2 linked regions of the Bombyx mori genome follow. The protein of the gene in region 1 binds, or shares a complex with, the protein of each later gene. Links are inferred from orthologs where the notes say so. Each region holds a gene or a part of one and is shown on either strand. Other genes may lie near its edges. The genes, in order: PDZ domain-containing protein 8 and Rab7.

What was found.
Region 2: the proteins of PDZ domain-containing protein 8 (region 1) and Rab7 are in contact, whole or in part, in a crystal structure (PDB 7F6J), measured with the Homo sapiens proteins. The link is inferred for Bombyx mori from reciprocal best matches to the Homo sapiens genes PDZD8 and RAB7A. Residues at the interface, in NP_776152.1 of Homo sapiens: Ile999, Lys1000, Leu1001, Val1002, Arg1003, Lys1004, Glu1005, Gly1007, Leu1008, Asp1009, Asp1010, Phe1013, Ile1014, Lys1017, Gln1044, Leu1051, Asn1054, Asn1055, Val1058, Leu1077, Leu1084, Gln1085, Thr1088, Ile1092; in NP_004628.4 of Homo sapiens: Lys10, Leu14, Asp16, Ser17, Lys38, Ile41, Gly42, Ala43, Asp44, Phe45, Gln60, Trp62, Gly66, Glu68, Arg69, Phe70, Gln71, Ser72, Leu73, Gly74, Val75, Ala76, Phe77, Tyr78, Arg79, Thr98, Ser101, Trp102, Glu105, Phe106.

What each region holds. Positions count from the first base shown.
Region 1 is NC_085121.1:4,642,503-4,646,336, forward strand, and holds part of PDZ domain-containing protein 8, read left to right. Parts: intron 1-1,238; coding exon 1,239-1,349; intron 1,350-1,635; exon of another isoform or gene 1,636-1,722; intron 1,723-3,834. UniProt on the Homo sapiens protein: Molecular tethering protein that connects endoplasmic reticulum and mitochondria membranes. PDZD8-dependent endoplasmic reticulum-mitochondria membrane tethering is essential for endoplasmic reticulum-mitochondria Ca(2+) transfer.
Region 2 is NC_085121.1:7,694,952-7,698,832, reverse strand, and holds Rab7 (Rab7), read right to left. Parts: upstream 2,579-3,881; 5' UTR 2,500-2,578; coding exon 1,873-2,499; 3' UTR 687-1,872; downstream 1-686.

The sequences.
Region 1 (3,834 bases):
CATCAAACTGTGCCATTGTTTACCAAATTGTTATATAAAATATCAATATATAGAACGTATGCAAACCTTTCCAGTAGCCGATAAAGATTTTAATATTATTTTAGGTTTAGATTAAAGTAGTTACTTTGCAGAGGAAACCTAACCTGTGTAGTTAAGGTAGAAAATCGAATAAGAAGGGCAGAATTGTGTTACGTCATTATGGTAACTTTAATTACACTACGAATGAGTAACGACATGATGCGAAGTACAGTTGAGCGCACACTTACATAATTTGTGGTTTAAAGAAACATTCAACTTTTAGATTTCCTGAATCAAACTGAATCTAGAGCGTAATGTCGACGCAATGATTCTTGGGTGCGCAATAAATGTGTGTAAGAAATAACACACACAAAGATTCCACGAACACGGCAACTCTTTTAGAGGTTACGTGTGCGACTATTGCCGGCACACATGCGGAAGAATAAAGAGCGTTCCACTTTGGAATAATGTGTTGCTTTATCTAGACAAGCAATGCTGAACCGGTTTATAGATATAGTACTTCTTTTTACATCGTAGTTTGGAGTATCTTTATTTTTCAACAGAGGCGCTATATTGTTATGCGAGACAATTTTGTTTTTTTTTTTTTTGAAATGTCATAAATATACTTTTGATTTTGATATTTAGACAGCACTCACGGGCTTAATTTATTAATCGCTGGTTATACGCAATTATGGACTAAGAAAAACAGTAATTAAGTATTGGAAAATATCATCAAATATTCTATTATAATATCTGATACTAAGAGTCCCAAACAAGTTGAAAAAGGACACTGTAATCACTGTAATCTTATATGAAAACGCAGCTTTTACTCGTCCTTATAAATATTATAAAATACTTACATTACTTCTTTACTTTGCATACCAGAACCTAATATCAATAATTGAAACTGTACTCAATAGTATTTTCTTAGAAATAGGTCAGTGTTAGTTAGAATAAAAATGGATGTGTAAATTCATAAAATAAAATATAGAACTCTGTGTCCAAACAGTTAAAAAATTTGAAATAATATTTATGTGCGATCTTGAAAAATTATCCTATTTACATGGTTCGATTTAAGGCGATGCCGTCACCCGTTCCGTATTGTCAAGGACAAGTTCAATATATACCTATCCAATTTACTGTCGCTCTTTTCAGATGCCAAAAAGTTTTTTAGTATCACGTGAAAACAATTACGCAGTAATAGTTTAATACATTAACAGGCTTGAGCTGTCCTCCTCCTGAACTGATTATGACAGAAGCTGACTCGGTTCCCGATCCTGACTCCGACGAAGAACCCGATAGAAAAGATTCACTTGAAGTTCATGAAGAAGGTGAGAACAATTTCAAACACAACCATTCAAAAACGAATTGAAGTCGACTGAATTAAAAAAAATTCAAAATTCAAATGATTATTCTAGAAAAATCATCTAAAATTTCAAATTTTCACTACTAACAAGGTTAATTAACATAATACGATTTTTGGCGAGTTATGTTCGGTTTTATTTTAATTATTATTTTCACTGATTTACTCGATCGAATTTACAATATACATAAAATTTAAGTATATAATTGATTTTTGTTAATATTATTGTTTACGGTTATGTTCTTTCTGCGCAGACGAATTGCTTGAATGCTGACATTTGGGAAGCAATACACTATTCTAACACACCCGGACTCATTCGACTTGTCCCTACGACTGTGCAGGTTTTATTATATATTTTTAACAACGTTTATCGTGACTGTCCTAATTTGTCCTCATTGTGTAAAGGCATTCCCGCTATTTTGGGAAATTGCAGTAAAATTGTTCATTTCCGTTCCAATTAATAGATGATCAAATCATAAAAATAACAAGTTGTTATAGAATACATATCATTATATTCTACTACGTAAAATTAGAACCATAAGTTAAAATAAACATAATAGTTTATTTATTTGTATATATATCCATATTTAGTTTTGTTTCTGAATAAATTAATTACATATATATTATTAAACACTAAAATGAAGTGTTAATTAAAATATGCATTTTTTAAACAATTACTGTAACAGAAGATCGATTGAACTTGACACTTGCATAGAATAATAATAATATGAAAATATTTGACTGAAAAAAATACTGAGGCCGTGGAGGTAAAATGAATAACAACTATGGTAAATAATATTGTTCGACTTGAAGTTTATTATAAGAGTTGTACATAGTTAATACTTCGAAGAAATAATGTATAATTGACACGAACAGCTTAATTAAAATAAATAACACTTGCTTTTTGTTTTGTTCTATACATAAAATATTTAAAACAGAAGATATGAAATCTCAAGAAATCTCAAGTTTTTATTATCGAGTTTTTTTGGTCTGACACGCCCTTTCTAATATTCATGTCTTTACCACCTGGATTTGGAATATAATTTCGCCATTCCGAGGGCAAGTAGCTCAGGCCTAGCCTAAATTCATAAAATGTAATTATATGTAATGACAATTACAATGATAATAGCTAATTCGTCCCCGGATATAAGAAAGAAAAATGCAAAAAACTTTAAAATATCAAACATAAATGGACCCAAAATAAAACATCATTTTTTTAGAATATTCTTCAGCCATTTGTTCTACTTTATCATAAACTCATATAGCGCTAGCTGTTTTAATAGTAGTTGTAAGATATTTTGTATTTAAAAACAAAACATATTAATTAAACAACGGTAAGGCCCGATTCTGAAAAATTCCATAGTTAGGTTCTATTCCGTTTTGTATTCCAATAATGTTATTGTAACGGGTTAACCGGGATTTGAGTATGGTACACGTCTCTGAGCGTCGTCGTGCATACGCATATTAAGCTATATGCTTGTGTCTGTGTTGAAATCCCGCAGGCGGGTACCAATTTTTGTAATGAAATCTATAACAAATGTTCACAATTGAAGTTCACGGTAAAGGAATACAATCTTGCAATAAAAAACAAACCCGCAAAAAATATCTTTTGCGCAATTACTAGTGGTAGGACGTCTTGTGAGTCCACACGGTTAAGTATCACCACTATATCGTGAAGCAGTAATACTTGCAGTAAGGCTTGAAGCGTGGGGCAACCGTACTGTAGAAACTAAGACTTTAGAACTTATGTCTGATGGTGGGTGGCGGAATTAACATTGTTGATGTCCATGAGCTCCGGTAACCACTTAACATTAGATGGTCCGTGAGCTAGTTCCCCCTCAAAATCAATAACAAAAATTGTTTGCCCGAATACGGAATCTCTAATACCAAAAACATGTATAATATACGAATACCTTGTGGATGTAATGGCGGACTCATTCCGATAGAGGCACCCGTCACATGCGGACGTGCTCATCGTCCACTCGATCGCCCGGTCTTTGTTCGCCCGGCTTTTGTTAGCCCGGCCATTGTTCGCGCGGCCTGTGTTCGTGATACATCTGCCGACCAAGTGTGTTTCCTGGAAGCTTTTATTTGTTTTGTTTTAGTTATTTTTGTGTTCGTGGAACATTTGCCGACAAAGAGTTTTCCTGCAAGTATTTATTTGTTTTGTTTCTTTTTGTAATTTCTGTTTTGTTGTGCTTTTTCTTTGTCCTGTAGTAATCGCGCCGCATTGCCACCTGTGTTCAATAGAACCGCTCAGGTCCGAGAAGTTGGGGCCTCGCCGCAAGGCGAGTGTTTTCAAGACCCGGGGCCGCCCCACCTGGGTACTCAGCGATCATGGACGCTGTATTCGCGGAATTCCTCCGACTTCGCCACCCACAGCTCGCCTCAGAGTTTCTGGCCTTCAAGGCCAATCGCACTGCGAGCCCTCTCGAGGACTCCGCCGCGCTCGC
Region 2 (3,881 bases), about 3.1 Mb from region 1:
TTTATATTTATTTAAAAAAATACATTATGCACTATGAACACACCACGTATTGGTATAACCGAAATTTTGCTGCTTATTTTTTTATGTATATAGGTAAAGAATACATAGAGGTATAGTCGAGATGTTTCATTCAGAAAAATTACTCTCCTTTTTGTACTGGCTTCTAGTCTCTTGGATAGCACGGTTTCGCTCAACACGGGACTTTATAGGAACGTATATACAGTAGCTATAAGAGGGTTATCTGTAAAATGTTCTTCCTTCGTTGTGGAAGCTATTTGTATTAGGTAGGTACATATTTCGTTAGAAAAATTGGTAACTGCCTGAGGGATTTAAGCACCGATACTATCACATCTCTCGATAACACGACTGTGTTATCCTATAGGCCACAATGAGTTCACAAACCAACTATTGGTTAGATTTTTCCTTAAGCTATATAAATTTCTTAATTATCCATTTTTTTTTCATTTTATTGAAGTGAAAACTTCTTTAACACTGATGTGATTTACAATAGTGTACACAAAAGTAATACTGAAATTAAAAACATTATATTTTGCTAAGGTTTCACTATTACAGCATGTGAACTACAGACATGTCTATATTTATTCACAATATATAAAAACAAATAAATATACAACAATAATTAGAAACAAATTATTACTATGTTAATTCATAATTGAAACAACAAATTTATATTGGTTTATTTATTGATATAAAATTAAAAGCAACCATTATTACAGCATAATATTATATGTTAATTTTAGTTACCTTCCATTAAAACTAACTCTTAATTTACGCATTTTATGTATTAATTAATAGAACACTTGCAATTTACGTGAGTTTTTTCACATAATACTTTCTTATAAAATGCAAGGTCATGATGCTTAAAAGCCTTTAATTAAGCTTGAGGCTGAAAATTTGGCTGAAACATTTAAGCTAAAAATGTGATTAATTATTTGCATATAAAGGTTATCAAATAATATTGGAAGGATCCATATTGCAGATGATAATCACAGACTAGTCAAGGAAGAAAATGATTTGAATTGAAAGTAATCTATATTTATGTGTCATGACCTTACTATAACTTTGTTGTGTCACCGTAATATGATCTTATTTCCTGTTGCTCTTTGATCATAAAACACAACTGTTATAAGCTGAGTAATGTTATCATTAACTACTTAGAACTAATATTTAAATTCCAAATATATACATACAGAAATATTCATGCTACATGTGTTTATACTATGCAGTATATAGATTAAGATAGACTACTCCAGTTTCACAGAATTTAACAATGGTGACACAAGATGCTCTCCTTCTAGTTATAATATTATCCTCAAAACTATAGTACTATGATTGCTAAATATCATTTATCTATAAAGTAATTAAAATAAGTATGTATATCACAATATTAGAATAAAAATGAGATATGCCTATAGATAAATTCAGAGTAATCAAAGTTTTAGAGTCAAGGACAACAAATTTAGCATCATATAACTAATGTTGACAGATAAATAAAATTGATACACAAACAGAAATGGTACATTTAAATTTAATATTCTTTTCATTTGGATTGTTTATTCAACTGTTTTAAAATTGAATTGTAGAAAAAGGTGGCATAGGTATTTAAGTCAACATCAATTCTCATTTTTTTACATGTTTACAGATTACCGGAACAGAATAAAAAATTACCAGTGCATCATTTTGACAACATAATTAGGTGCATGATAAAAAATTCAAATTAAAATGTACTTATAGATTCTATACATTTTTACATGATCCATAAAACACAAGTTACTTAGTGTTACACTATGTATTTATGGATATAAAAACCAGAAACATTTTAAAAACCATGGCTGAAGCAGTAGCAGTGGTCTAGCAAGCACAGTTGTCACCGTCCCTGTTTCTTCCATTGTCATTAGCATTCAGTTTGATTTGGTCGGGGAATTCATTGTAGAGTTCAGCTTCGGTTTCTTGTGCCAATGCGTTGCGTGCTATTGTTTGAAAAGCTAGCTCTACATTGACAGCTTCTTTGGCACTTGTCTCAAAATACGGGATGTCGTTCTTGCTCTGGCACCATTGTTGACCACGTTTGACAGAAACGGCACGATTATCCAAGTCGACTTTGTTTCCCAATATTACGAAGGGGAAATTATCAGGGTCACGAGGTGATGCCTGTATCAGGAATTCGTCTCTCCAACTCTCTAAGGACTTAAACGTGTTGGGGGCAGTTACGTCAAAAACTAATACGCAGCAATCCGCCCCACGATAGAAAGCTACTCCAAGCGATTGGAACCGTTCTTGGCCAGCAGTATCCCATATTTGCATCGTAACGATTCTATCGTCAACGATTACTTCTTTTGTGAGAAAATCTGCACCTATTGTCGCCTTGTACTGGTTGGAAAATTTTTTGTTGACAAACTGATTCATCAGAGATGTTTTTCCAACACCGCTGTCACCCAGGATAATTACCTTTAGCAGGAGCTTTTTCCGTGAAGACATTTTGCACAACAATTTTTACACAATGATGAAAAATACAATTTAATCACACTCTTTGTCTGCACTTTTGACATCAAACGAAATTGATGGTAAATGCGTCACCTGTTTACTGGGTTACCAGCCGAGCGTAGAGAGCAATTACTGTTCTCTTTGGAATAGAGTACGTAGAAGCTACCAGCACATAAATGGTAAATCATTTTACATAGGTACGGTACTCTGGTAGTTTTCCAATTACAGAGCATAATGCGACTCAGTGACGCACAATGCCGAATTATGCTGAAGCTTAATTGGAACATGAATTAGTTTTCAAATGCATCAGCAGAGTGCGCTAAGTTAGCACAGTTTTAATTAACATTGATTTCTAAGAAACTACGACGAAACGAAAGCCTTACAATTTTTTTCAACATTAAATAATATTACTAACGATAATATAAACAAAATTTCGATCAATGCCAACTTAAAGAAAAAAGACTTGTCAATTTTCTGTCACAGAGTCGGTATCGATTGCAAGTATCACGCGAGAGCAGTACTTTTGAGAGTGCTCGATTGTGCGAAGAGTTGCTGTAGTTGGAACATTCAACGTTGAGCATTATGCCGCATAATGCGCTCTTGTGCTGTAATTGGAAAACTACCTCTATCTATAGATCAATAGCTGAACGTCAGCTGACATTTAGAAAAATCACACGCAGATTCAAACATATCATGCCGATTTTTAAAAAATGATGATTTCAGAAGAAATTCGAAAGGCCACCTATGAATTGATGGTCAATTGATCACCTTCAAGGCATCAAATAATGTTTTGTTTTTAACATGTTAAATTTAAATCAGACAATCAAACAACAAAAGACAAGAGTAAATATCATCTAATTTTCTTTGATGTATAAGTTAAAAGTGGGGTCAAAGCTTTATGTAAAGTACGAGTGGGAGATTTCTGCGGAAGAGAGATAGGAAGGCGGAGAGGATGAATGAGAGTGGGAGGGAGAGAGATCGAAAAAGAAAGGGAGAGAGTATCACACAGAACGCAAAAAAGTATAAATAACCTCTTGTCTCCCATAGCCGGTTTCACGTTAAGCGCTCTCTCACATGCAGTGACTTGGGGACCTGGGACAGCACCGAAGCTTGACTAGACGCATCGCAGTCGATTCACTACAAACATAGATCTGCAGCGTCCCTTGCAAGAAAATCTCAGCGCGGACAACGCTAGCTTACAGGCACGACCTCCAGTCTTTTTTTTTTTTTTTTTTTTTTTTATTGCCCTTAGTCTGGGAGGGAAGCACTGTGGAATCTTCAATACTGCTCATCACCAGTGGCAGCGTGCGGTAAAATGCAAACACCAGTAAGAAACTAACAGCTATGTCTTTTGAAAGCGTTATATGCACAGCGCT